2 linked regions of the Diceros bicornis minor genome follow. The protein of the gene in region 2 interacts with the protein of the main gene of each other region in a pairwise test. Links are inferred from orthologs where the notes say so. Each region holds a gene or a part of one and is shown on either strand. Other genes may lie near its edges.

Evidence for each region.
Region 1: the proteins of SH3GL1 (region 2) and MAL2 interact in binary tests that used the Homo sapiens proteins (3 or more experiments, as listed by UniProt). The two-hybrid records come from large-scale screens. The link is inferred for Diceros bicornis minor from reciprocal best matches to the Homo sapiens genes SH3GL1 and MAL2.

Annotation. Positions count from the first base shown.
Region 1 is NC_080760.1:35,418,673-35,433,981, reverse strand, and holds the start of MAL2 (protein MAL2), read right to left. Parts: upstream 6,772-15,309; 5' UTR 6,758-6,771; coding exon 6,626-6,757; intron 1-6,625. UniProt on the Homo sapiens protein: Member of the machinery of polarized transport. Required for the indirect transcytotic route at the step of the egress of the transcytosing cargo from perinuclear endosomes in order for it to travel to the apical surface via a raft-dependent pathway.
Region 2 is NW_026691553.1:3,313,273-3,328,624, forward strand, and holds the start of SH3GL1 (endophilin-A2), read right to left. Parts: upstream 7,488-15,352; 5' UTR 7,353-7,487; coding exon 7,308-7,352; intron 1-7,307. Other genes in the region: CHAF1A (chromatin assembly factor 1 subunit A), read left to right, coding at 10,043-10,094, 13,325-13,375, 14,930-15,352. UniProt on the Homo sapiens protein: Implicated in endocytosis. May recruit other proteins to membranes with high curvature.

The sequences.
Region 1 (15,309 bases), on a different chromosome or scaffold from region 2:
GCAATGAGAGATGACATATATTAGTAAGAGGGCTATGTACAACATATACTAATGCAAAAGAAGTTTTGCTTTTTAGATTTACATTTTAAATCTAAAATTCGACAGCTTTAAAATTTTTGAGGAAGGCCGGCCCAGGGTCATAGTGGTTAAGTTTGTGCTCTCCGCTTCAGCGACCCGGGGTTCACAGGTTCAGATCCTGGACGCAGACCTATGCACTGCTTATAAGGCCACACTGTGGCAGCGTCCCATATAAATTAGAGGAAGATGGGCATGGATGTTAGTCCAGGGCCAATCTTCCTCAGCCGAAAAGAGGAGGATTGGCAACGGATGTTAGCTCAGGGCTGATCTTCCTTATACACACACAAAAAAATGTTTGAGGATGCTGTAAGGAGTTACACTTTCTTCCTCCCCATCTGACCCCAACTGCCATTTCAGTTTCTTAAATAGCTGATGCTAACTCTAAAATGCAAAGCACATATTACAGGGAAGAAATATGTTCTGGTCTCTTTTTATTCTTATTTATAATTTTCCTTAATTTTTAAAATCTTCTTTTCATTTTATAGGTAACTAGTTATCACCTAGGTTAAAAATGTTCATGCATGCCAATGCCTTGACATCAGCAAGAACTCTACAACTCACTGCCTCTTTTCTTTCTTTTTACCTCCCTCCTTTTGAAAGCTATTATCCAAAAGTTAAGAATGTCATATATGGTGACGATGAAAGGACATGGCCCTTTTCATATAAAATAGGACACAGGAACTTCAGGTCAAACCGTAGATGAGAAGAATCATGACATTTCAAGTTAGGCAAGACCTACGAGGACATCTGCTCCCAAGCTGCCTGTCTCACTCTAGCCAGTTTCTCTAAAATATTCTCACACGCTGTTCTGTTTGTCCTACAGGACAATCCAGCAGCATTTGTTAAGTACTTCACATGCATGATATTGGGTATGCCAGCCCGGTTCCTGTCTTGGTCATTATGCAGTCTTTTCTAATAAGACACATCAATGCAGATACGCCACGTTCACAGCTTCTACTACCAGATATGACATTTCTAGAGGGCTCCATAAAACAAATCCCCTCTCCCTCACCTTTGCCTTTGGAACTCAAGGTCAAGGTGTATAGGAACTTGATTTAAAGTTTTCCAAATTTCAGTTTTCATATTTCTTACAGGGCTGCCAGTCAGGGCAAATGATTGCTGAAAATCATTGGCAGGGGCATCAGTTTATTTTCTCTTAAGAAGTTTTAAAGTCTTTTCACATGGATGGAGGTTTTTAACCCAGGGGCAAAGGAAAAATCTCACAGAATTAAAACCCTTTTAGAGAGGGAAACATAGCCATGGGTAACCCCTCTTCAGCACTGCAAACACACAACTTCCCTTTGCAACCAAAATCTGTTTTCTGGGCAAGAAAATAAAACTCTATACATCTGAACATTTATGCATTAGTCTGTCTAAAATCAAAACTTTGGGTTGAAAATAACCTGAAATCCCTTCCATAAATGTATCTGCATGACTGCACATGCCTGCTTCACAGCCCCTCCCTCCCCATCCTCCTCTCATCAACATTGGTTTTTCTGGCATAATTCCTCTGAGTTACATCTTCTATTTAAGTTTGGTCTAGTATCATTTCAGGACACGTCAAATGTCACATCTGTTCTTCCTCTCTGCTTCTTTCCTTTGTCCTAGTTCAGGTTCTCATCACTGACGGATGATGAGATATCCAAACTACTGCCATAAGCCCCTTAACTGGTCTCCCTGCTTCCAATCTCTCTGGTTTATAACCAAATTTCACTGCTCAAAGATTTCTAAAACACAAGTCTGATCAAGTTTACCCCTGTCCTTCAGCAGCTCCCTACCACAGACAGAATAAATTCTATGCCTTGGCCTATCATTTCTCAGCAAATCATAACTTGAAACTTACCTGCTGTTTCTCCTTCTTCTGCCACCTTCCCACAACTCATGTAAAAAAAAAGAAAAAAAGAAAAAGAAAAAACCTAACAACTGCCAGAATCTCCTTCATGCCATGCTCTTTCTCGTCTCTGAAGTTTGCACATGCCCTTGTTTCTGCCTGGAATTCTCTTTCCCATTTTTTCTGTCTGTTGAATGTCTACTCATCATCTAAGGCTAAACTCATCTGTCACCATCCCATTAAAGCTGCCTGTTCTAGCCTCCTCAGTGGTCAAATGTACCCTACCCTGGTTTTCAATAGTACTTTTCATAAACCAATTTTACCACTTCAAACACAGCATTGTAATTCTTCTTAACTTTATACTTCACTGTACAGGAATTTCTTTTAAGGGCAGGAGTTATGTTGTTTTTTTTTTTTTTTTGTGAGGACGATCGGCCCTGAGCTAACATCCATGCTAATCCTCCTCTTTTTTTTTTTTTTTTGCTGAGGAAGACCAGCTCTGCGCTAACATCTGTTGCCAATCCTCCTCCTTTTTTTTTCCCCAAAGCCCCAGTAGATAGTTGTATGTCATAGTTGCACACCCTTCTAGTTGCTGTATGTGGGACACGGCCTCAGCACGGCCGGAGAAGCGGTGTGTCGGTATGCGCCCAGGGTTCTGAACCCGGGCCGCCAGTAGCAGAGGGCACGCACTTAACCGCTAAGCCACGGGGCAGGCCCAAGGGCAGGAGTTATGTTAATTATCTTATTCCCAGGGCATAAAATAAGACCTGATGCATAGCGGGTTCTTAATTATTTGTTGAATAAATGAAAATTATTGTGGCACCCAAAACACCAAAGTTAGAAGCATGAGAATAAGAGTCCTAGATATCCCCCATAAAGGGATATGTGGATGAATATCTTGGGCAATGTAGACAGTTTCCTAAACACTGAAACTGTGAAACACACTGAATTCAATAATGACCTTTATTCTTTTCCATGTTTAATACTATTACGTCCAATCTTTCTTATGCATTACACAAGATAAGCTCATTGAGAACAGGGACCCGAAATATCTTGTTCAGACCAATAGTACAAGCGCTCCAATGTTATTTTCTTATAGAAAATGGAAAATGCTTTAGCTGTGGTTCACTTTCCATACCATGTCGTTCTTGCCTGAATGGTAGTTATTTTTGTGCATATCCTCTCAACTAGGTTATAAGCTCTTTCAGGTAAGGAAGGATCTAAACGTCTTTGTTCACAGAAGAGTGCCTTGTACACAGTAGGTATTCAATAAACACCTGATGAATGACGTAGAAAGCATTAATTCAGGAAATGTTGTGAGATTTTGAAAATGATAACTTTTGAAGGTGATGTCTTCCATACTAAACTAAAAGGCTTCACTTTGCAAAACTAACTTAGTATTAAACTCTTCATGGCAAGCATGCATTGGTTAAGTCCAGCTGAATCCAAAAACCGAGGCGCTGATGACTTAGGTATCTAGGAGTGGAACACAGCTATCTCAGGAAACCGCACCACACTGGCTGCAATATTCTCCACCCATGAAGCCAGTGCTATAAATTGTTTTACCTGGTGCTGTTAGGCTGGCACTATTTGTACATTTTGAATTATCTCCCAGACAAATGGCTTACACCTGAGAGATTGAGAATGGGGTATAACAAGGGGGACTGGGAGCAAATTCTTTGAGCAAACCTACTGGTTAGTGTGAGACCTGAACTCCAAGATCATGGTCTCATTAGCTTAGTCAACTATTGATGGCTCATCTTTGTCAGATGCAGTTTTCATGTGTTAAGTTCTAGACTGCAACAGGACATAAATAGAGAAATCATGAAGACAAATGGATCTGGATAAGAGGTCAAAATTAAGGAGGAGTTTGGGGATATCCAGAAACAATGGCAAAGGCTAAAATAATCAGTGCCCAGAAAGCAGATCACCCAGAGTTTAGAACTGCTCCTGGAGAATTCGCACATTTAATTTGCAGGGGAGACACTTCCGAAGAGGAGCCATGGAGATGTACACTTTAAAGGAATGAGAAAATTACAGGGAAATTAAGAAAGCTGGGAGAAAAGGTACATCAAAAGTGTTTACTTAGCTCCTATCTGTGTGTCTGCTCAGTATAGGCATTCTAGATAGTGGGGTACCAAAGTGGTCTTGACCTCTGCTCTCTTAAAGCATATAATCCAATATCTCTAAGTGATCTGGAAGGATGGGAGCCAAGAAGGAGCTATAGTTTAGCTCCAAAGTGGTCTCTTGTTTCTCTAAGGTCACTAGTTTCATTGGAATATTTTGATCCTTTTATTTTTGGGGAGTGGGTTGGGGAGGAGGGAGATTGATACTCAAGTAAAAGAGGCAATGGAGGACTAAGATTTACACCTATCAAGATGTTTGGCCATAAAAAGTGAAAAGTAGACTGTAATGTCTTTTGGAAGTCATGCTGTTCTATCTAGACATGGTTCCTAGACATGTTTCAGGGGTAAGAAGCCAGAGGAAATGAAGAGATAAGAGGAAAAGACTGGATTCTTCCATGAGTCTGGAATTACTCCTAGAATGGGGAGTGGTAGAAATTCTAGCAGAGAGAGAGAATCCACATTTGCAAGAGAAGAGCTGTCTTGTCCACAGAGCCGTGATAAAGGCCTCCCTTGGTAGTTCTCAGCCATGACTGTATATTAGAACCTCCAGGGAGCTTTTAAAAAAACCTAGCCGACTCTGGGTACTCCCCCAGAGATTCTAATTTAATTAGTCTGAGCTGGCAACAGTATTTTTAAAAGCTGCCCAAGTAATTAAGTACAGCAAGAGTTGAGAACTAACAACTGGGCTAAAGAGCTTTGGGGGTGGGGGAGAAGAAACAGAATAAATCACCTTCTACTTTTATTCCTCAAAATTAGGCAGTCTTTCCTAAGGTGTCACATGACTGCAGGTGGGTCTTGAGATGGTATATGCTTTGATGGCACATGGATAAACCTTCTTTACATATATATACCTATATGGTTCGATATAGACATATACGTTATCTTTACATATATACATATGTATATATATATATATATAAATACATTTGAATATCAGAAAAAATATAACCAGCATATCAAATTTGAGAATTCATATATATTATTGCTTAGGATGAGGCAACGGTACGTTCCTGAAGTGTAGAAAGTGAATATATTAAAATGAACATTCTGTAAATTCTAGTACAGGTGGAATGGGGATATGGCAAAAACTTCTAAAAGAAGTATGCAAACAAATGGAGTTTGGTGAACACGGAAGTAACGTAGCCCAGCATCTATAAAATCTTTCTTCCCCGCTCTTACTGTTCCAAACGTGTTTCCCTCCCACAGCAGTGCAGCGGGCCCAAGGCCATCCTCTCCCCGCTCTTCCCACGTGGATGCCGGTGCCTCATCCCAAGCATTCAGATGCTTCTGAACTGGGCTCAGACTCAAACCAGCCTCCTCTAGCCTTGCAGTCACGATCCGATTACTGATGCCATAGCCTGTAACTCACTTGTCTCCTTTTTCAGATTCAAATCTGAGCTCAACTTAACTTAGGGTGCCTGAGCTACCCTTAGCATAGTAGAACAGAAAACCAATGTTCACAGGCGTTCCAGTTCCACAAGCACAAAAGTGAAACCGAAGCGACTCAAATCCAGGTTATGCAAACTCAAAGGAGGGGGTGAGGGGCAAGATATGAACACCCCAAACCGAGCAAACAAAACCAGCCTGCAGGAAAGGCACTGACTCGCTAACATTTCACCCTGTATTTGCCATTCTCAGAGCATGATGCAACCTCAGGTTGCCCAATTTATATTTGCACATTTTTCCCCTTGTCCACAACTAGCTTCAAAAGCTTCCAACTCCATAAAATTCCTCTTAAAAAGCTGAAGTCTCTAGCCCAAGAAGGTTGCACGACAGACCAGGTGACCTTATCTTCACCTCGGCCCAACAAAGTGTGCCAGAAGGTTGGAGTTCCAGAAGCAGCCCAGGAAAGAAGGCAGGCAGGCAGGCAGGCAGCGGGGAACTTGACAGCCACGTTTGTACCTTTCTCCCCCCATTCTCACGCCCACTTGAATAGAAACTGCCAAGGGCACGGTACATACTTCACCTTTTCCCCTGCCTTGTCTCCTGAGCCCTACTCCTCTTCCCAATCCGAAGGGCACTAATAATGGCATGGGGAAAAAAAATGCCAAAGTCTTCAGCCTTCCTCCTCCTCTTCCTGGTACCTCCCGCCCCCGCTCTTCCTATGGTGGCAGCCTCCCGGTCACCCAGTCATCGGCTACACCTTTGCACCGCCCAACAAAATGGCAGGTTAGCAACAGGCGAGGCCGCGAGCGCCTGCTCCGGCTCTAGCCAAGCGCGGCCCCGGGCCGAGCCGCCGGGCGTCTCTGACGGCGCTCCCAAGCCCGAACACCCTTCTCCTCTCAAAGTCCCCAATCCTCGGCCCCACCGGACCGCCTGCTCGCTCTCTTGTGGCCATTTCTGTCGCCAGTGGGGAAGCAGGTGCCAGTGTAACAAGTGCCAGGCGAGAGGGCCCGGGCAGCTGCGCCGCCGCCCAGGTTCGGGCTGCGCTGGGCATCGAAAGGACCCCGGGAGGGGAGCAGGTGAAGGCCACGTCGAAGGGAAGGGAGCCGGGGGCGTGCGCAGAGGGAGACAGCCCGGGGGACAAGGATGCCGCCGCTGCCACTCCTCGCTCCCCAGCCGCGACCCTCGCCGAGGCCGCCCCACTTACAATCTCCAGGCAGACGAAGGCGCCCGAGGAGGTCCGCAGGATGCCGGGGCCGGAGGGCAGGGTGACCCGGGGCGCCGGGAAGGACACGGCGGGGTTCGGGGGCGGCGGGACTGCCGCTCCGCCGGCCGACATGCTGCCGCTGCCGCTGCCGCTGCCGCTGCTGCGTCTCCGCGCGCCACCACCTCCGGCCGCCCGCCTCCGCCTCCCGGGCTCCCGCCGCCGCCGCCGGCGCTCGGGTCCGTGGGGTCCCGGCGCGCCGCGCGGGAGGGGGCGTGGCCGCGCTGCCCGGGGCCTCGCGGGGCCCCGCCCCGTCACGTGGCCCAGGTGAGCGCGCCTCCGCCCTGGCGCCCGCGCCGGTCACGTGCACAGGTGCGGCTGCCACCTGGCGCGGTGCGTCCTGCTCGGCTTTCCTTGCCCCTCTTCGGGCCAGCGCCCAGCGCTCCCCGAGCCTCTCAACGCCGGACCCCGCTGTCTTGCTTTTTATTTGCTCCTTTTGTCCCACCTCTTAGTTTCCACCTGTTCTCTTCCACCTGTCCTTCCCCCAACCCTCACAGCTCCCCTACTCAACTTTACTCAATTTAACTGGAAGACAGGTCTGCGAGCTGTGACTCAGAAGATAAAATCCAGGTCACCAGTCACACCTGGTGTGGAGTGGATCTGCTTTAAATGGGACTCTAGTGGGATTTTTAAAACACCACTAGGACAGCATCGCGCATTGGCGATGGATGCCTGGCAGGTAACTGGCTGCTTTGTGCGCCCGTGGTGTGCTCATCTGTGAAATGGGCATGAGCATGGATTATACCTACCTCGAATGCATGCCCGAATTACATGATATAAGGTGCAAAGAATTTAGCACATAGTAACCGCTCCTCGAATGGTAGCTAATATGATGATTGCTGTTTTTCTAATTTGTTCACATGCACATACCACACTCCTGTGTACACATGATGTTGCATAAGTTATATTTTCCACATAAAACTTTTATTGATTTCACCTGTCTGAAACTTAGTTGTCTTTGCTGTTGTCTTTTAATCACTTAAAAGGATTAAGGGAAAAAAGGGGGGATTCTATGTATAGTTTGCATTCTCTGCCCCAATTTATCCCCATTTTATCTTTGGTTTTAATGTCAACATTTTATAAGTGAAATAAAGGAGATGAGATTAATTTTCTCAAAGATCAGCTGAAGATAAACTACACACACCAGCATACACATGTAGACCAGGTTGGAAACAGTATTAGCTAACAATATCAGACATTCTCCAAATTGAATACTTACCTTGTCTGTCAGGTTTAGCCTTTGAGGACTGTATTTAGCTCTATGCACTGGTCAGCAGATTTTAGTCATTTTACGTCTTTATCATTTTAACAAGCGAAACTCATAGGTGTGGTGGCAGCATCAGGGTAGAAACCACAAAATTGGGTGTGGGTGAAACCTTTTGTATATACCGCCTATCTTCTCCACCTCTTAGTCATCACTTTCTGATATTTAATGTGTGGTATTTACTTAAAAGAAATTTAAGGTTTTCTGCACTGATTTATTTCATCAAGGAACCCTCTCTGTGTTCAGAATCCTATTGGTATAGAGTGATCTTTCTGTCTGTTTTATTTTATGCCTAACATTTCTCAGTGAGCACGTAAAGAACTTTCAAAGGGAAGATTTCTTCAAAAAATTCGTCATGGAGATGCTCAGCAACTATGATGGGCCCCCAAAATTTCAGTGAACAAAGTTAAAATGACTTTGGAGTTTCCAGAAGTGCTAATGACTCACAAGAGCCTCAGTTGTGCTTGTTTAAAAAATTGCCACCACGGGGAAAACTTTTCACTGTGTGCCTTCCAGCACCCTCCTCATTATGCCGTATATCCCTGACCATCCCTGACCATCCTTGCTTTCCCTCTTCTACCTGGTTGCACAATGACCAGTGGGATGAAAAAGATTGTTGTTGAGGCCTCTTCTATTATTGTAATGTATCATTTGCTTGAAAATGAATTCCTCCCTAGAATCGTTTTCCTCACTACCCAAACCTTTTATTTTTCTTGATAATACCAGTTTGCTTCTAATGAAGGTAACACTTCTGGAACCAAAGGAAGAAAAGCATTCATCCCCACCCCCGCCCCACCACTCTGTCTCTTCCTTCACACAACTGACTGTGAGCTCTTAACAGTTTCACTTCTCTGCTCTTTCCTCATCCTGTTTCCATGGTTTACTGACTTCCACCATGACTTTTACCTTGCACACAGACTTCCTTGGGATCCCATTTTTTGGAATGTCATTGTTCATATTCATGATACTGTCAACAATCTTGCCTCACAACCACTTGCTACCTTCAATGAGGTGAAATCACATCTGGATCTACCTTATTACTTGGAATTTTGCTACTGCCATTCCCTGGAATGCTAACATTCTCTATGATGTCTATCTCCTATTCATGTAACTCTCCATCATTCTCCTCTTACTTTACGAGGAGTTTTAGGATATCTAACCAGTAATACTTGTTTCATTGAAAACAGGACCATCAATCCAGTTATACAAGACAAACATCTGGGTGTTTCCCTTTGTAGCTCTTCTCCTGCCACATATTTAGTTAGTTGTTTTGATGGCAGTTCTACGATCGTATTCTCTAGGATATATCCACTTCTCTCCATTCCCACTCTGTCACGGGATACTATTCCTTCTCACAACAAATACTCTAACAGTCTCGTTTCCCTCCCTGTATTCTCTACACTGCTATCAGAATTATTTCTAAACACAAAATTGATCACATCCACTCCTCTACTTAATTCAAAACTCCCTGGAATGCATTCAAGGAATTTCTGGGGTGCAGCTTGTAATGAGCTCTCTGACTTCACCAGTCCTGTTAATCCACCTACAGTTCCAATAACTCCTCTGCCTCCGGACCTTTACACATTCTCCTCCCTCTAATGGAACACCCTTTCTTCTTACCACTCCTCTATGTCATATATATTTCCTGGATAATTCCTTTGGATCATAAGGGCAATTCTTTATGGCAGCATTTCTGGCCATAGGGCTCCCTCCCAGCCAGTGTGTTTCTATAACCTGATATGCTTACTTCACTAAATTGAAATTATATTTTCATTTGTCTCATATCCTTAGCTAGTGTTGTATAACAGGATATTAAATTGAGAAGTTCAGTGGAGGCACCAAGACATGAGAGATATCAGATACCAATGTGAGCTGTGAATTAGACCACTAGAAGTTTTAAAGTAGGCTTGAGAACCCATTTGATAATCTATAAACCCTTCACTTCTATCAAGAATATGGAAAGCTCAGGAATGAGAATTTGGAAAGAGGGTGATGTTGGGGGAGAGCTATGCTGGGAATCACACTTCACTCTCCTCCTCCTTCATGCCCTCTCCCACACTGAAGGAAGTAGCTGAGATTTATTCACATGATATAATAGGAGTTCAAGTAATATCAGCTGACCAAATGAACTCTGTATCTAAATTTCTCTGCTTCATCACCATTACTCTCCTCCTTTCTTCCTGTTTCATAAGAAGTGTTTCTTTCCCTATCCAAAGTTGAGCCATCTCAGCTTTTCATTATTTCCCCTTTGTAATTCCTTTATGAAATTGATCCATTAATTTTCCCTTCTCTCTCTTCAATTTTTAATTTCCACTTTACACTCAATCTTTCCCTCTCTATGAACATATACAAGTTTCCCCTGTCATCAAAAACAGCAACACTTGACTTCTGCCCAAACTAGAATAACCAGGACTGGATTTACCTGCCTGTCTGAAACAACTAAATCCCAAACTATATGAAACACTGGTTTTCAGACATTAAACATCAGGCAATGCAGGATAGTGATCTTCTAGAGATGGGAAAGAAATGGCACGAGCCCTATGATTTTCTCAGTTTGGAGAGAGTTTCCAGAGTACAAGAGAGGGAGACCGCAGTGGAGGGTAGCAGTCTCCATGAACTGAGGTGGCGAACCTGGGAATTTGAAGGGAACCAAAGGAGCTAGAGTTCACAGAGTACTAGAATGGAAAGAGCTGCATATAGAGAAAGCTTTGAAAGTGAGCAGAGGGTCCCCCTTAAATATTCAGATGAGTGCTTATCAGCACACAAAGGTAGGTGACTTATCTGAGGCCAGGGAAGAAACATTCCAAAGGAGCAGAGAAACAATCCCAGGAATTCATACAGGGACAGGAATAGTTCATGTTTGCACCATCTAGAGTGGAAAATCTCCTACTTAATGGAGCACTGGATAGAGTACTCAAAAAAGTATTGTCTCAGTTCTGAGGCAAAGTCAACTTTAGACAAATGGCTACTCTGGTCCTACCTTACACAGCTTTTTAAAAAAACCTCAGAATACTTAAACCATTTCCAGTTAACTGAACTGAATCAGAGAACATGCTCAAGAATATTAAGGAGTACAAAAATGTCCAGCACCCAATAAGATAAGGTTCACAATATCTAGCATTAAATTAAAAATTACCAGGTATGTAAAGAAGCAGGAAATATGAAACATAACAAGGATAATAATCAACCACTATAAACAGACCAAGAAATGATATAGATGATTGTGTTAGTAGAAAGAACATTGACAGTTATTATAAATGCATTCCATATTTCAAAAAATAGAGTAAGATTGCGCATGTCATGTAAAAAAGACCAAAATTAAATTTCTAGATATGGAAACTACAATGTCTGAGATGAAAAATACTCTGCAGAGAATTAACAACAGATTAGATCCTGCAGAAGAAAAGATTAGTTAACATGAAGACATAGAAATAGAAACTAAAATTAAAGGCACAGAAGAAAAAGACTGAAGAAAATTAATAGCATAGTGAGCAGTGGGATAACCTCAAGTGTTTTAATATGTTCATAAATAGAGTCTCAGAAGGAAGAGAGAGAGAGAGAAAACGTTTGTGAAGAAATAATGGCTGAAAGATTCCCAAATTTTATCTAAATTATACTCGCAGAGATGATAAATTTAATAAACTCCAGGAATTGGAAACGTGAAGAAACCCACGCCAACGCACATCATCATCAAATTTCTTAAAAGCAGTGATAAGGAGAAAATCTCCAAAATAATCAGCAAAAAGACACATGACACACAGAGAAACAAAGATAAGAGTGGTAACAGACTTCTCATGGAAACAGTATAAGCAAGAAGAGCATAGAACAACATCTTTAAGCTACTAAAAGACAAAAGGAAAAAAAACAACCACTGTTAACCTAAAATTCTATATGCAGTAAAAATGCCTTTCAAAAATCAAGGTAAAATATAGACTTTTAAAAATTTTTTATTTATTTTTTAAGACAATTTTTTTAGAGCCGTTTTAGGTTTACAACAAAATTGAGACAGGAGTAGATATTTCCCATGTACCCTCTCCCCCAACACATGCATAGCCTCCCCCATTTTCAACATCACTCACCAGAATGGCACATTTTATACCAACCTACATTGGCACATCATAGTCACCCAGAGTCTATAGTTTACATTACAGTTCACTCTTGGTGTTCTACATTCTATGGGTTTGGACAAATGTATAATGACATATATCCATCATTTTAATATCATACAAAGTATTTTCACTGCCCTAAAAATCCTCAATGCTCTGCCTAGTCATCTCTTCTCCATACCTCCACCACTGAAAACCATTGATCTTTTCATTGTCTCGATAGTTTTGCCTTTTCCAGAATATCAGATAGTTATTACATATAGTAACATACCTGTAGCCTCTTAGATTGGCTCCTTTCTCTTAGTAATATACATTCAATGTTCCCCCATGTATTTTTATGGCTTGATATCTCATTTCTTTCTAGCACTAAATAATGCTCCATTGTCTGGATGTACCATAGATTATTTATCCATTCACCTACTGAAGGACATGTTGGTTGCTTCCAAGTTTTGGCAATTGTGAATAAAACTGCCATAAACATTTGTTTGCAGGTTTTTGTGTGGACTTAAGTTTTTAGCTCCTTTGGGTAAATATCAAGGAGCATGATCGCTGGGTCCTATGGTAAGTGTATGTTTAGTTTTGTAAGAAACCACCAAACTGTCTTCCCAAGTGGCTGTACCATTTTGCATTCCCACCAGCAATGAATGAGAATTCCTGTGGTTCCACGTCCTCACCAGCATTTGGTGTTGTCAGTGTTCAGGATTTTGGCCATTCTAATGGATGTGTAGTGGTATCTCATTATTGTTGTTTTAATTTGCATTTGCCTGATGACATATGATGTGTAGGATCTTTTCATGTGCTTATTTACAATTTGTATATTTTCTTTGATGAGATGTCTCTTAAGGTCTTTGGCCTATTTTTTAATTGGATTGCTTGTTTTCTTACTGTTTATTTTTAAGAATTCTTTGTATGTTTTGGATAACTGTGCTTGATCAGTGTGTGTTTTAGAAATATTTTCTCACAGTCTATGGCTTGTGTTCTAATTCTCTTGATTTTGTCTTTCACAGAGCAGAAGTTTTTAATTTCAGTGAAGTTCAGGTTGTTAATTATTTCTTTCATGGATCATGTCTTTGGTGTTGTAAATATAGACTTTTTCAGATACAGAAAAAGCTGAAAAAAATTGATAGTAGAAGGAAATACACAATAGGAAATGGGAAAGGAAGTCTTTCAGGCAGAAGAAATTGATGCCAGTTGGAAATCTGCGTCAACATGAAGAATGAAAATGGCCAGAAAGGAGAAATATGTGGATAAATACAAAATTTACTTTTAAAATGTTTTAAATTATAATAGTTGTTTAAAGCAAAAATTGTAAAAGTGTATTTTAGTGTTTATATTATATGTAAAAATAAAAGATATGACAATCATAACACAAAGGTCATGAGATGGAAATGTCAAATATAATATTCTGAAGTCCTTATACTCCACTTGGAGTGGTATAATATGTGAAAAAAATGTATGTACTATACACCCTAAAAAAATCACAATAAACAAGACAGAAGGAGTTATAGCTAGAAAGCCAACAAAAGAGCTATAAAAGAATCATAAAAGATACACAATTAATTCAAAAGAAGTCATGCAAAGAAGAAAAAAGAAACAAAGGACACGTGGAACAAATAGAAAACAGAGAGATGGTAGAATTAAATCCAATTTTAGCAATAATCACATTATATATAAATTGCCTAAAATTCTCATTGAAAAGGCGAGGATTATCAGATTTGATAAAGAGCAAGACCTAGCTATACACTGTCTACACAGAGCTTTCTTTCAATGTAAAGACAAATATGTTAAAAGTAGGAGGATGTAAATAGGTATAACATGATAAAAGTAATCAAGAGAAAGCCTGAGGGGCTATTTTAATATCACACAAAATAGGTTTCAATGGCAAAAAGAGTTATCAGGGGTAAAGAGAGTTATTTCATAATGATAAAAGGGTCAATTTATCAAAAGGACTTAAAATTCCTAAATGTTTATGCACTTTATAACAGAATTTTAAAAATAAGTCATGTAAAATTAATAGAATGTAAGGAGAAATAGAGAAATCCACAATTAGAATCAGAGATCTCATCACCACCCTCTCAATAATTGATAAAAGAATGACAAAGAAAGTCAGCGACAATATGGAAGACATGAGTAATACTATCAAATTCCTTGTCTTCAATCTGGTTCCCCAGAGGCAGCCCCTGAGATATGGATTCCTGTGCAATGGATTCAGTAAAGAAGTGCTTTTGGAGGAGACTGGAAGAGGAGTGAGTAAAGCAGCACAGGGAGGAGGGGAACCCAGGCAAGGGTGGGAGCTCAGGCAGAGGTCAGCCTGATCCTGCAGAACAAGTGGAGTGTAAGTTATGTCTCACTGTTGCATGATTAAGGCAAGAATTTCATACACCTTACCTTCACTGGGAAAGGCTGAGGGAAGGAAAGAGGATGCATAAACTCCATACTTTTCCAGCAGTCTATATACGCAGGCAATGCACTTCCGGTAGCTAACGATCATCTTCCAAAAATGGCCCACGGGTGCTGATGATTGAACCCACACCATAGCGGGGAGAAGGGCACACAGAAATGGTATAAAGGGATTTGAGGGGACCTGGGAGAGCGCTGACGTCATCTGCTTCACTTCCCGATCTAGACCCTGATTTCTAACTCCGATTCCTATCTGGAACTCCAAACGTCTGCTTCCAATTGTCTGTTGGATGGACTTGTATTTTAAGCTCATAATGTCCTACAAGAAACTTTTTCTTTCTCTATAAACTTCACCTTTCCCTTTGGTTTCCTCCTTCTGTTCTTGGAAGCACCATTTTCCCAGTTATCCAAGCTTTAACTTTACCTTTAAAAACTTTTCTTCTATTGTGCTTCCACTATCCAGTCAGTTTCTAAATCCTTGCAATCCCACATCTTTGATAGTTTGTAATCTGCCCCATTCATTCATTTCCAATACTTAGAACAATGCCTATTACCTCTCCTTTGAATTATACTAATAGTTTCTAATATCTGATTTTTTGTGTGTCTAGTCCTTCTACTCTGTAGTAAATTTTAAATAATTCTGTCAGTTTGACTTGCTCATAGGACAGCCTAGACATGTCATTTTCCTCCCTAATAGCTTTGATGGCTGCCCAACACATCCTAAGTAAATGGCAAACCGCTCATAACTCTGTACATTCCGACCTCTGTGCCTTTGTTCATGCCTCTGATTGTCTGGACTCCCTTGAATAATCCCTCCTCCAACCTTTGAATATCCGAATTTGATCTATGTTTCAAGA
Region 2 (15,352 bases):
CCTGTTCCCAACCCAGCCCTCCAAGGCCTGGCCTGCCGTCTCGCTTCCCTGGGCTCTGCCAGGGCCTGAGCAGGAGCCAGGCAGGGGCTGGGGCCGAGCTGCCCCGTCGCCGGAGAGCCCACTCCCACTCTGAGAGGGAGCCCACCATGTACGACCCAGGGGGCCCCAGGCCTGTGACTGTCGGAGGAGAAGAGCACATTCAGTGCGAGGATGAGCTTGGCACGTGGGCCGTGCGCAGGAGACTGCTCGGCCAGATGCTCCGAGGGTGGAGAAGCACTTCCAGCGGGTGGTCACGGGAGAAGGCCAGGATAAAGGGAGGTACACACGGGGCTCTAGAGGGCAGGGAGGGGACAGAGACCGGGCTGGGTGGGGAGGAGAGAGGAGCACCCTGCTCCCATAGAAGGAGGTGGGAAGGTACACAGCAGCCGGGGCAGACCGGTCAGACTCGAGTGTGCTGCCCACAAAGGAGGAGGGTGGGAATTAAAGCTGGGACCAGGGTGGTGCCCCGGAAGGTCCTGAATGCCAGGGTGGGCTCAAACGGCACCCCAGGTCAGCCGGGGCCATTCTCATCACGTGTCCAGGCCTGTTTCTCCAGGTGCGCTGACGAAACCGCTCCGCTTGTCCACTCACAGCCCACGGCGCAGCCATTTGCTCACTCGTGTGCGGGGGCAAAGGTCCCTCCGTCCGTCCAATACTTACTGAGTTCCTGGGCCAGGCCAGCGGCCAGGCTCAACACCGGGCAGACAGCAGTGGGCAGAAAACACAGGCCTGCCCACAAAGAGTTTATAAGCCAGCGACAAAGACAACTCAACAGTCACCCAGGTCAGTCTCAGTCCTGGACTGGGAAGGGGCTACACAGGAGTCCGTGGACCTGGGATCTGAGGGATCAGGGGCCGGCAAGACCCGTGTGGAAGGGCAGAAGGGACACACCGAGGGTGAACGCATGTTCACCAGGCTGAGGGCAGGAAGGGCTCGAAGGGCCCAAACAAGGGCCACTGCACTGGGTGGGCGGTGTCACACACCGGGCATGACGCCCGCCGGAGGGCTTTCATGCCCAGGTGTGGAAATCCAAGCAGCCGAGCGGGAGCCCTTTCCAGAGCGGGCCGCGGACGGATGCTGAGTCAGGCTCTTCGGAGGAAATCGCACGTCTGTTTTCCTGCTGTGGTTGGAGGCTCCGCGTGACCCCACTCCAGGGGCCCAGTCAGCAGGTTTTTCTAGGAGCAGAGTGGAAAAGGAAGACCATGCCGTCCTCTGGGAGCCTGTGTTCGCAGAGCCCTGGTTACTGCTTAATGGGAAACGAGTAGAAACGCCCCCAAACTGCAGCGCTCAGAAGAGGCTGCCAAATCCAGCCTTGTGAAAGGAGAGAGGGACAGAGAGCGAGGAGAGAAGAGAGCGACCAGCTGCTGCCCCAGCCTCACACAATCTTCCACCCAGCTCTCCAGGGACAGCTTTGAAAAAGAACAGGAAAAGCCGACCCTAACACTCCACCAGGCGCATTAAAAAGCCATGGGGTTTGAGCACAGGGGTGAAGCCGCCTCAATAGGTGTTCCTAACCCCCCGGGGCGATAAACGCCTGTGGCTTGGCAGCTTCCACATGGAACCCTCCAGAAGGCTCAGAAACCTCGCCCGCCCTGGAAATCAGAAAGAGAAGACAATTTGCCGTTCCTCCTACTGCAGCCCCCGAAATGCAGGGGCCTCTGAAATCCTACAGAGGAAGCTGGCTGCACGCCCCAAATTAAAAAACGACGATTCCCCAGACTGGATCACTTTCAAAATACTGGTAACAACTGAAGAGAAGGAGAAGGGCTGAGATAGGGGCCAGGGCAGAACTAACTAGCCCATGTCCCTGGATCAAAGGCAGTGGGACACACGTGCCAGAGGCAAATGGCAGGCCTCAGCGGGTCTGGCCAGGACCTGAAGTTCTTCCTCTGAGGAAGAAAGTGAACAGACGCACACACCGACAGCTGAAGGGCAAACCAGCGCAGGCCCCCAGTGTCCTGTGCGCTCAGATGTGGGTTTCCCGAAGGGAAGGCTGGGTGGACAGGCGGGTGGGTAATAGCACGATTTTCTCTGTTCGCTTGCTAAGTCTTTGACAGTTCTGGGCCTCAAAAGCGTGACACGCCCCAATTTCTGCAACTGAACAGGGAGATACTGTGAAACGCCTAACCACACAGGCTGTTATTAAGTGGCACATGGAATATAATTAAGTATCCTACAGCTTTGCCTTAAAACACACCCAGATCAACAAGGCGATTAGCTCACACGGCGCTCGACTGGTCTTTAATAAACACAGGACTGTGAGTCAGAGGTGAACTTGCGGCCTAATGTACCATAGTCACGGGGCAGCAGAGTCAGAGTACGGTGGCCCCTCAGTCCTGGTGTGTCAACAACAAGAAGATGCAGGATGCTGCTGGTGACGGAGAGCCTCGGTGATTATGCACAGCGCGTCCTGCCCAGGCGGTCAGGCTGACCCGGTTTGCAGACAGGCCTGGGAGTGCCGGGGTTAAGGAGGCCCCGGGTCCTTTGGAGAAGGGCAGTCTCAAACTACTTCTTGTAGCTCCACAGTCCAGCCTAACACACCGGACTGGTCACTCCACCCGACAAGCTAGTGATGGCAAGTCAGACAAGCTAGTGATGGCAAGTCAGGAGAGCGATCCAGCCCGTCCACTGATGGAGCAGGATGGGAACACCTCTGCCCAGGGGCCTGCAAGGATGTTACTAGTTCAAGGGTCTTCTTATAGAACGAGTCAGCAAAGTGGCTTCCTATATGAGGGGGACTTAACCCAGTTCCCATCACACGTGGACATCACAATGGCCCTTCCCACGTCGGCTGCCCCAAGTAGATGGTCTTCCGGGGGTCAGCCCCCAGCTGCCGAGCTCAAGGGCCTGGGGCTGGCACACCCCTCTCTCCACACCTTGCCTGTCACCTGTCCTTCCCAGCACATGGGTCCCACACTCATATTCATGCTGAGGCGAAGGGGTTACTAGTTCCAGATTTTTGTTTCTTAGGATCGTTCCACGTTTATTACTTAACAGCACTTTGTTAAGTTATTACTTTGTTATTACTTAACAAGCACTTTGCTAGGAAATGAAAAGCATGATTCCACAAAACGAGGTTTAAAAAATAGGTCAGAGCAAGCAGAATCTGGGGACGTTCCAAAACGCCAGCCACCGCCCCCAGTGACTGCTTACTCTAACAGGTCGGGGTTCTGGGTCCCTCAGCCCGCACCCACCCACCCCCCGCCTCTCACAGGAAGTTCGATCTTGCCTCCCCAGCACACACCCAGGGCCTCCGAGCATCCAGCAAACTTCAACGCTATGGGATATGGCGGGCGTGAATTTTCCTCCTAGCTCAGACAGAACCAATCTTTCAGTTCAAACTCTCTCCCTCCTTTCAGGCGAAAAAAAAAGAAAAAAAGGTCAGGCCAGCATTCCAGGCCGCTGCCAGCTCCGTCCCTAGTTACACTCTCCAATCTCCACACACGAGAATTATCAGGAAACCAGCCAGCAGTTTAGGTCTGGAAATTAACGTCACCCGAACACACACCACAACGGGAAGTGAACTTCTGAGCCTGGGTCTTACCAGCAGGGTTCCTTTTACCCTCCTTGGTTCCCCAGAAATACTCATAAAAGCATCCCCCCAACTCTAGACGTGCATAAATACCAGACGGCTATGGAGGGTGTGGGCGTCACACAGGCAGGATGGAGGGGACCAAACCACGGGCCCCAGACAGGCGCCTATTTCTTTCACTGTTTTCCTCCAGATTCGTCAACTTTCCTCAGCCCAGGCCCTCAGCCAGTCAGTGGCCAGTTCATAATAAGAAGTAAAAACTCACACCCTTCCCACTCAAGCCCAAACTGATTTAAAACAAGAAAGTTAGTCGACCAGAGACGAACCGGGGTAGAATTTGCCAGTACATGGCAGACACTGGTAACTGGTTGGTTCCCAGCATCACCTGTGAGATGAGAACCGTTTTGTTAAGGTCGCAGGCTCATCTGCTAGAAAGAGATGTCTCTATTCCGGGCTGCCTCTCGCACGCACCTCCACCTGGCTTCCATTTCTCAATTTAGAAAGGACATTGTCACAAGCCTCTGAAATCAAGAACCTGTTTCAAAGCGGGGTTTCTCAACCTCAGCACTGCTGACATTTGGGACCAGGAAATTCTTTGTTGTGGGGAGGGCTGTCCTGTGCATTGTAGGATGTTTAGCAACCACCCCTGGCCTCCACCCACTCGATGCCAGTAGCATCCTCTCCCCAGGTTATGACAACCAAAAACCGTCTCAGACATTGCCAAATGTCCCGGGGGCGGGGGTGCAGGGGGTGGAGAGGACAGAGGGAAAGGTTAGTAAGCCCTGGTGGAGAGGCACTGGCTCAAGATTACACCTTCTTAAAAATACCAGGGGCCAGGACACTCTGAGGTTCTCCTAAGGGCTTAGAGGGGGGGCTTGGGGTCCGTATGCTGCATTTTACGTATGCATCCATCTGTGTACACCTGGGTATGTGTGTTTTGAAAACTAGGAGAAGCAGGCAGCTACCACAAGAATGGCCCAGGAGAGATTTTTTCTTGTTGTTTTGTTTTGGTGTAATTAGCCTCACTTTTCTCAAACCTTAAAGCAGAGTTTCTCAACCTCGGAACTACTAGCACTGCGGGCCAGGTAATTTGTGGTTCTGGGGGGGCTGCCCTGTGCACTGAAGGATGCTGAGCAGTGCCCCTGGCTGCCACCCACTAGATACCAGTAGCAATCCACCAAGTTGTGACAAGCAAAATGTCTCCAGATACTGCCACTGTCACCTGGAGGGCAGAACTGGCCCTGGTTGAGAACTGCTGTTCTACAGGACAATAAAAGTCCCCAAGTCCTTTTGTGGGAAAAGGGGAGTGCATTGACGCTCAGGCCAGAGGAGAGACCAGTTGAGACCAACTGGTTTAAAGCACATTGCCTGTTCACATGGTGGAAACTCAACACATACTAATTATTAGTACATAACGAGATATGTTACTCTTGAACAGACGACTCTATTCCGAGGGCGCAGAAGAGGATGTAAGAGGTGTTCCTAAGAACGAGAAAAGAAACGCACACAGAGATGGACACGTCCAGATAAACAAAGGAGCTGCTGGATGCCCGTGGAAACTGTTGCAGAAGAGAAAGGAACACAGCCAGGGTGAGTCTTGAGAGAACTACTCAACACAAGAGTTGATGGGGAGGCCGAGACAACCGCTCTCAGAGAAGGATGTGGCCATCAGAGCAATTCTCTGGGGCTGGGCCTCAGAATGTGGAGATAAGAAATTGATCTGAACCACCAGCTTACACTGCGCTGTGCTTTCCAGGTTTCAAGGCGCTTTTCACAGATCTGAATGCGGGCCATCCTGGTTCCCCGAGAGAGAACACTCTGGCAGCTGGCCTGAGAGGCCCGGCTGGTTCCTTTAGCTGGGTGTGCCTGCTGGGGACGGTGTGGGCCACCAGCATGGGGCCTGATAGCTGGGGTGGGGAGGGGAGAGCTTCCGGAAACCCGTCTACAGGATGGTACAAGTGGTCCAGGAATTCTTCCAAGACCTACGGGGACATTGTTCCTGTGCAGGCCGGACTACACAGGGGCCAAGACAGTGAGCAGCACCAAGGCACTCCAGCCAACCACGTGGGGGTCTGAAGCCTGCTGGGCAGAGGCTAACCCAGGGCCAGATCACTGAATTCCATCCTGCTGGGGCAAAGGGCTGTACCCTCAGCAACAATCCTAAATGCCTCTGGATTACGTCCCTCTTCCTTCAGGGTTTAGCCACCATCTGGGGTCTAGATATAGACCCAAATATCTTTAGCCCTAGACAACCAAGAGGGTCGTTACTTTTTCCCTTAAGGGCCGAAGGGCATCAGCTGTGTGTTGCTGGGGACTTACTTCTCTTCCCTCCCACTGGATCGCTCCAAATTGTGGGTAGAGTTTGGCTTGTCAACACGGCCCAAAGAACTCCGAAAATCATCGCTCGTTCCTCCGTGGAGTGTATCCACACAAACTCCACACCTACAGTTCTTAACCTGGGATGCAGGGACCAACAGGGTTCAAGGAATCTGGGGCTTCTGGGATCTGAAATTATAAACCGAATTTTGCATCTGCCTGGTTTTCTGGAGAGTGGAGCCATAGCGTTCGCCAGATTCATGAGCCACTGGGCCCGAATCTTCCAAAACACCTATACTCTCTGTCACACATAAAATGCAGATATTCTTGGATTCAGCATTCCACTTCTGGGAATTTCTCTTATAAATCCAATCCCACCTGTGAGCAAAGATATTCACTGCAGTGTTGTTTGTAGCAGAAAACTGCTGGAAACAACTTAAACATCCATTGATGGACCGGTTAAATACATTATGATACACATCCATCGATAAACCAACTAGGTAAATAAATTATGATACACTTGGTGAAATGTAATACCACGTACTCATTAAAAAGATCCCAGAAGCTCTAGGAGCATGCTTTAGTCCAGTAGTTCCGGGGGAGGGGGCGGGGGGAGGGAGGGGGTTCCCCCAGGGAAATCTGGCAGCCACTGAGACATTTGTGGGTGTCACGGCTAAGGGTGCTCCCAGCATCGAGCGGGTGGGGGCCAGAGATGCTGCTCAACCCCCCACAGTGCCCAGGACGTCCCCCCACAGAGAATGACCCCAGGTGGAGAATTCCAGCTCTACTGTGATCTCCAAGACACATTTAACGAAAAACACAAAGTCCACAGGACGGTGTCGACTCTGCTACCACTATATGTGTGTTTTTAAAGGAGAGGTGTACACGTATCCTTAAAAAGAGACCTAAGTCGCGGGTGACAGTCCTGATCGTGGGGAGAGGAACTGGAGTGGGAAACTGACTTTTCACTCTAACCTTTCAACTTTGCACCGGGTCCATCGAAAGGGTATTTTTTGCCTTTTGTTTTAAAGAACTGCTTTAGACACAAATGTTCCCTTCCTCTGCGCTCTCTGGCAAGAGTTCTGTGTCGACAGCCTCGGGACTGTTCTTCCCCTTCTCTCCCTCCCTACCCCTGCCCTGTTAGAGGGGAGGAAAGGAGGAGAGGGATCACCGCCCTGGGTCACCCCCTGGGTGCATCTCTGCTCCTCCCAGGGGTCTGCCCACCCCTCCCGAGGAGGCTGGAGCACACAGGGCGGCCAGGGCCCGAGCCACCTCGCCCGCAGCCCCTGCCCCTCCTGGGCTCTCCCCACCCCGCGGGGGACACGTGCCAACGCAGCCCCCTCGGCCGCCTCCCGAGCCAGGGCCGGGCCTGGCCCCCCACTCCGGGCCGCCCGGGGCCCCCGCCTCGGCCTCCGCTCACCTGGCTCGCCTTGTAGAACTGCTTCTTCAGCCCCGCCACCGACATGCTGCCTCCCGCCGTCGGGCCTCCCGCCCGGACCCCGCGAAGCGGAGGGACCGCTCAAGCGACAGGCTTCCGGGCGCCGCCAACCCCCCGCGCGCCTCCGCGGCCACGGTCAGCGCCGCCTCCTCCGCCCTCTCGCCAGCTCCGCGCCCGCCCCGGCGCCGCCTCAGCCTCTCGCGCGCCCGCGCGGCCAGGATATTACATGGCAACTGCACACTTCCGGTGCCGGCCCGCGCGCGCCCCGGCCCCGTCTGCGCACGCGCGCCCCCTGCCGGCCGGAGAGCGCACGCGCACTTCGCCTGCCGTCGGGAGCGGGGAGGGGGGCCGCCCCCGCCAGCGAGTGGACCGGGCGAGCCTAGAGGGGCTGTGGCGGCTGCATCGACCTCTGGAGTCCCGGAGGTGGCCCCAACGTGTTAGGAAAGGCGCTTAAACCTTTCTGGAGAGGTTGGGAGGCTGTGCTTACAAGTCTCCAGACACCTGTCTGCTAATCTCAGCTGTACCCAATTCCTCTATGCTACTTTTTTCTTTAGTCCCTCCCACCTACCGGCAACCCCGCCCCGTGTTCATCCATTCAGTTTCCCAAGTCAGACATCAGGGCGTCGCTTCTACCTCCTTTCCACTGCCTCCATTGCCCTCCCTGCCCTAAGCAGACCATTCCACCAGCCTCCTCTCTGGTGTGCCCACCTTTAGATTCTCCCCTCCGATTCACCCCCTACAAGGCAGCCAGAAGGATGCTTCTATAACAATTCAGATCACATTAGTCTCCTGTTTTTAAAGTCCACCTACTGCCCTCAGAATACACTCCCAACTTCCTAACACAGCCTACAAACTTTGCATAACTTGGCCTTGTCAACCCTTCTGACTTTGGCTCTCTTCATCTTCCATAATCCGTGATCCCTGAGCCTATGGGCCTTTGCTAACGTTGTTCTTCTCTTGCACAGTCTTCCCCAATCTTTCGCTCCATCCTTTGCACATAAAATAGGACTCTGCTTGGAATATCACCCCCTCTAGGAAGACTTCCCAGATTGATGCATGCTTACCGATCTTGATTTTTTAATCAATTGTTATTGTATTGAATGAATTGGAAATTAACAATGAATTGGAATGAGTATGTGAACCCAAAAAGAGGAACAAGAAAGTGACTAGAGCTAAGGGGCTTGCAACTTCAGTGCTGAAATCTCTGACATTTGGGTGATTGTCTGAAGCGGAAGTTTGCTGGAAGTTTCCAAATGCCTCAACAGAAGGTCCTGGACTAGATCAGAGGATTGTTTCGGCATATGCATGCCCTAGCCTCCCTCTCAAAGATCCTGATGGGGCCATTACAAATAGTTTGAAAAAACTCTCCATGTGATTCTGATGGTCACTGGTCTAAACCATTGCAGAACGCCAGAATGTCAGAGAAGGGAGGGAAAACACCTCATGGTTCGTACGGGGAAACTGAGGCCTTGAGTAAGACGTGACTTGCACAAAGTCTTGCCCACATTCCCTATTTCTTCACATTACTTCCAACCAATTCTACTGATTTAACTATCTGATCTATACAATCAATAGAATTCTAAACTTGGGCTAAATTTCGGTCTTCTCACTTCTGCTCTGCTGGATTAAATTGCTGCTGGAGAAAACCTACTCTGAAGGTCTCTGTTCTGTGTGAGCCTTTTAACCTATATGATCACAAAGTCCAATCAAATGATATTTATGCAATCACTCAAATATTTATTGTCACCTACTAATGTATCAGTCACTGACAGGTCTCAGGGATACAGTGATGAATGACTCCTGCCCTCATGGAGCTAATGACAAAAACAGAAATTACGGCATGAATCAAATAACACGGTAATAAATAAACATAAGCTGTAATTTCTTCGAGAAAAAGAGCAGCGTTGTAGGAACTTCATTTTGTTGGGGGTAATGGAGGAAAGGTTTCTCCGAGGTCTAACTTTAAGATCTGAAAGTTAGGTAGAAATTAGCCAAAGAAAAGAGCTTCGGAAAGAGTTTTCCAGGCAAGGAAACAGTGTATAAAAATCCTGAGGATTAAATCGGAAACATTCATTTCATTCATTCCCCCTGAATATATTTACCGCATGTCAAATACTTCTGAAGCGATGCCTAGAGTTTATTTGTATTGTCATATAAAAGCAATTTACAATTTTAATTGCTGTTGGTGTATTCAGCCGACGTCCAATTAGGATAAACTCAAAACTTCAGGCTTCCTCTAAATCGCAGCTTCAGGTTGTCACCCGTCGCCCTACGTAAAACGTCTCGTCATGACGTAAGAGCCTGACCCGCCCTCTTCCTACCGACCTATCCCACGCGCTCAGCCAATCACAGTGCCGAGCTCTCAGCTTGACACCTCCCTCCCCCAATCGCAGGGCGCCTCCTCTTCGCCAATGACAGGCAGCCAAGAGGAAGCCCCGTCCCTCCGCGGGAATATCAATAGGGGAGCCACGGGAGGAATGGAAGCCTCGGCTCTCGCGAGGATGCTCCCGGAGCTCCCCAGTTCCCGAGGCGGGCCGTCACGTGATGCGGCCTCGCCCAATCGGCGCGCGGGCTGCGGGGGTCGCCGCGGTTCCCGCCAAATACGAGCGCGGCGGCCGCGGCAGCAGCGGTGCGGGCGGGAGGGCGAGCAGCAGCGGCCGCCTGAGCGGAGCCTGCGCCTCCGCCGCCTGAGGGGAGCTCGAGCCGCCGCCGGAGAGATGCTGGAGGAGCCGGAGTGCGGGGCGCCGGGCGCCAGGGCAGCGGCGGCAGGTCGGTTCGGGCCCGCGGTGAGGGGAAGGGGGGGCGCGGCGCGCGGCCTCTGCGGGCCGAGGCGGCGGTTGGGGGCGGACGGGCCGAGGCGGCGGTTGAGGGCGGACGGGCCTCCCGGCCCCGGGCCCGCGCCACCGCGCCGGGCGTTCGGGCCGTGGGGCCGTGCAATCCCGGGGAAGGGCCTTGCGACCCGGAGGGCGCGCTCCTTGACGTTATTGTTGTGGCCGCGACCATTTCTTTCCGGCGCTTTTGCGGCAGTACGTCCTTGCAGGGCCCTGTGCGGTGACGGGTCGGTGGGGGCTGGGAGGGGAAACTGAGGCCCGAGGAGGCGAAGGGGCCGGCTTGGCAGGTAACCGAGTGCGTTTGGGTCCCCTGAGCAAGTTGGGCCCCGCAGCGACCCTCTGGCCGGGTGGGGAAACTGAGGCCCGGGCTCACACGGGCCCGGGGACCCAAGGGCTGGGTCTGCGGGTCAGGGCAGGCCGAGGGAAGAGGCTGGGTGGGGGGATCGTCAGGGAGCCGGGACTCCCGGGTTCTTGATCCTCCCGGTATGCAAGGTGACCTGTCCTCCTCCCTGTGGCTTGGGAGGGGGCTTCCTAGCAGCCAGCAGGCCCCGACAACGTGGGAGGCGAACCAAGGACGGCCCGACTACCCCTCTCCCCTGCTTGACTCCCATTTTGTCCCCAGCCCTTGGCACAATGCTTGGCACACAGTAGGTGGCCGAAAAAGATGTGTTGGTGGAATGAATTAAGGGGTGGCAGGGACATCAATTAGTCTAGTCCAGGGGTTCTCACCCTCAGCACTGTTGACATTTGGGGCCGTCCTGCGCACTGTAGGGTGGCCTGGAGCAGCATACCTGGCCTCCATCCATTAGATCCCCCTAGCAACCCCTCTTGCCCAGTTGTGACAACCCAAAGGTCCAGGCATTGCCAAGGGGCCCCTGGGAGGCAGAGTCACCCGCTAGTTGAGAACCACTGCTCTAATTGTTTCCAGATTTGGGGATTTCACAGAGACTTAAAATTCACGTAAATAAAGTCGGGACTGATTGTCAGAGACAGTCATTTGACCCAGTGAGGATGTTTAATTAATTTATTTTTTTTATTTTATTTATTTTCTTTTACCCCCAAAGCCCCAGTAGATAGTTGGATGTCATAGTTGCACATCCCTCTAGTTGCTGTATGGGACGCGGCCTCAGCATGGCCAAGCGGTGCATCGGTGCGCGCCCGGGATCCGAACCCAGGGCCGCCAGCAGTGGAGCGTGGGCACTTAACCGCTAAGCCATGGGGCTGGCCCCAGAATGTTTTTTTTTTTTTTTTAAAGATTTTATTTATTTATTTTTTCCCCCCAAAGCCCCAGTAGATAGTTGTATGTCATAGCTGCACATCCCTCTAGTTGCTGTATGTGGGACGCGGCCTCAGGATGGACGGAGAAGTGGTGCCTCCGTGCGCGCCCGGGATCCGAACCCGGGCCACGAGCATCGGAGCGCGCACACTTAACCACCAAGCCACGGGGCCGGCCCAGAATGTTTAATTTAAAAAGCACCACTTGCTATGAACATACTATCATGAAAGGGAAGAATGTTTTAAAGCCAAAGAAAAATTAGGAGGGAGGTATCTCAGAATTAAGGGCAGTGGTAAGTTTATACACCAGTGATTGTTAATTGTATGTGTACTTCTGAACAGTCTGGATCCCTCGGTGAAGTCCCTTTTTATGTCGACCCGAGGCTGTTTCTGGGCCTAGGTTACTTCTCTCCCACTTGCATCAAAGCTAGTGTTTCAGCGCCACACCAAAAAGATCCTTGTGGCCGTCCTAAAAATAAATTTAAGTGGCTAAAGACTGTGTATCTCTCAGTTGAGGGGGGAAAATTCATGTCTTTGCTAACTGAAAATTCGAGAATGATGTTTTGAAATGGGTGGAAAGGAAATGTGTCTTCTGGGTACCTTTCTTTTTTTTTTGAGGAAGATTGACCCTGTGCTAACATCTGTTGCCAGTCTTCCTCTTTTTTCTCCCCAAAGCCTCAGTACATAGTTGTGTATCATAGTTGTAGAGTTGTGGCTCTTCTATATGAGACGCCGCCTTAGCATGCCTTGATGGGCGGTGAGTAGGTCTGCGCCCAGGATCCAGGAACCCCGGGCCACCAAAGCGGAACCCGAGAACTTAACCGCTCCACCTCGGGGTCAGCCCCTGGGTACCTGTCTTATATTCCAAGCTTGGAAGGGAGAAAGGCAGTTCCTCTATGGATAGTTGAGTTTTTTAGAAAGCCCTGATCTACTTTTAAAAAATACTCACTTGTGTGTATCTTTTAAGGAAAAATATGTAGATTGCCCAAAATAACTCAACTAGATTTTTCCAAGCCAGATCTCCTAACAGGTGTGAGCTTCTAAACTTATTCTAACCATTTAAAAATATTTATCCAAAGGCTGGATTCTATTTACAGTCATTTCTGCCTCAGCTTTGATAGTATTAGGTGTTTTTCTTGAGATTTTTTTCGTGCAGGAAAACATTCTCCTTTATCATTTCTTGACAGCCCTTCAGCTCCGGCTGGGCAAACTCAAAATGCTTTAAATTGTATTACCTTCATAAACTCTATTTTAAAAAAAGATAAACCCTATGCTAATTTTACAGATTTGGTGGCGGGAGAGGTTGGATTGGAGGAGGAAGTTTTGGGGTCATATTAATGGTGAAATGGGTAACGTGGTGCTTTCTCTCATCTCTAGTTTTACTCCTTCCTCTTTTCGCTGCTCCTGTGCTGTAGTCATTGATTTCCACCATGTGCCAATCCTGAGTGAGGTGCTCCAGGGGCAGTGTGGAGCCAGTCCCCTTGCTGTCACAGAGCTGGTGTTCTGTTGGGGGGAGACATAACAAACAGCATAAGTTTCAGAGCAATAAGTGGCCAAGGAAAATAATACAAGAAGTGACAGTGTCCAGGGCAGAATTTCTCAACCTGTCACCATCTGAGCCAGAGAATTCTCTGTTGTGGGGGCTGTCCCGTGCATCGTAGGATACGTAGCAGTCTCCCTGTCCTCTGCCCACTGGATGCGAGTAGCACCCTCCTCCCAGACATAACAACACAAAATGTCCCTAGACATTGCCAAACGTTCCTGGTGGGGGGGAGGATTGACAAAATCGCCCCCGCTGGACAGCCACTTTGTACAGAATAGGTGCTACATATGTATTTGCTGTTTTGTTATTTCCAACACTTAATAACTCGTCTTTTTGACTCTCGTTCACAGCCATGGATTGCAAAGACAGACCAGCTTTACCAGTCAAGAAGTTAATACAAGGTAACTTTCTGGGAATGGGTTCAATATTCGTTCCTGATTTATATCCTTCATTGTCTTCTCAATTAGATTTTTAATTCCCCTTGAGCAGAGGCCATGTGTTGGGGTCCTCTGCAGAAGCATCCAGGGGCTGGAGGGGAGCAAGACAGTTGCACCTTACAGTCAGAAGCTGGGAAACCCATTTTATTAACTCCCGTTCCCAGGAGCAAATCCAGAGGGTGCAGCCTATACAGAGGGGTTTCTCTGCTTCAGCACTGTTGACATTTTGTCATTTCTCGTCCTGTGTACTGTAGAGAGTTCAGCAGCATGCCTAGCCTCCTCTGCCAAGTCGTGACAACCAGTAATGTCTGTAGACATTGTCAGATGTTGCCTGGCAGGCACTGAGTTGAGCCACTGTTGTACAGGAAGATAAGTGGCTCCAAATCCTTTTGTGTGAAAAGGGCAGCGCGTTGACCCTTAGGCCACATTAGTGGCTGACTGTATAAAAAACTATGGCTTCTGGCTTTTAGAACTTGATTGTCTGGTTCCCCTGTAGCAGTTTGCCTTGTCCTATGACAGCTGATAGCAAGTTTGGTGTTGGCAGGAGACGTGTGAAGGACAGCAGTCTTCTGAGGTTAAAGGATTTGGGGCAAACAGTAGAACCAAGGGCATGACTGTTTTATAAGCTGATTCAGAACAGGTTTATTTGTTTAGTCTATTACATTATGAAAAGTTAATGAGATGTTTTGGCATGTAAGTAAACGTGGGCTCCTTGGGAAGTTCCCCCATCTGATTTTCCTCACTCCTGAGGTGTGGCTGTGTATCACCTAGAACCAGCCAGAAGCCCGGCAGGCTATGGGAGGATGGTTGTCTGATTGACAAGAAAAGCTAACAGCCTGGGATGCTAGGGGCAGAGAGAGCTCTTTCCGCAAATGGATTTGTCTCTCTTGCTCTTCCGAACCAGATGCAGTTATCTTCAAACGGAATTTCCACCCATGATAAATGAATTTGGAATTGGAACTGGATCTTGAACAGATCAAAAAATACCTCGAAATTCTGGCAACATCCCTGCTATAAAAGCTTGTCAGGGGCCGGCCCGGTGGCGCAAGCGGTTAAGTGCGCGCGCTCCGCTGCGGCGGCCCGGGGTTCGCTGGTTCGGATCCCGGGCGCGCACCGACGCACTGCTTGGTAAGCCATGCTGTGGCGGCGTCCCATATAAAGTGGAGGAAGATGGGCACAGATGTTAGCCCGGGGCCGTCTTCCTCAGCGGAAAAAAAAAAAAAAAAAAAAAAAAAAAAAAAAAAAAAAAGAGGAAGATTGGCGGATGTTAGCTCAGGGCTGATCTCCTCACAAAAAAAAAAAAAAAAAAAAAAAAAAAAAAAAAAGCTTGTCAGTTTTTTGTTTGTTTTGAGTTAGGATGTTGAAAAAGTGCAGAATGAAATGATAACCCCTTTTTAAACTTTAAAATCCTCCCCCAGCCCAGCAAGGTCGATAATGTTCAAGCATATGGAATATTAAGGCCTTGATTGTGGCTCTTCACACTTTCACTAAAAAGACGGCCTCTTCTCTCCCTTTCAGCTCGTCTCCCATTCAAGCGCCTGAATCTTGTCCCAAAGGAGAAATTGGACGACGGGTTGGAGGACACGAGAAGCTCCCAGACTGCTCCTGTGCAAAGTCAAGTCCCCGATTTAGAAACCTCTTTGGACCTCTTGGAGAGTGACTGTCATATGGGTTCTGAGATAGATTTTAGGCCAAAACTTGTCAATGGGAAGGGTCCCTTAGATTACTTTTTAAGAAGTAGAGACAAAACCAATATTGGCCAGAGCACGGTCATCATTGATTTGACGGAGGACTCAAACGACCAACCAGACAGCACTGTGGCCCACGGTGAACTAAATTCTGTAGCCTCCCCCTCTGGGGAGGCTGTAAATGGGGTCAGAGAAGAAGCCGGAGATGAGAGGGGGCTGTCCAAGGCCGGTCCGGAGGATGAGTTGGCATTTC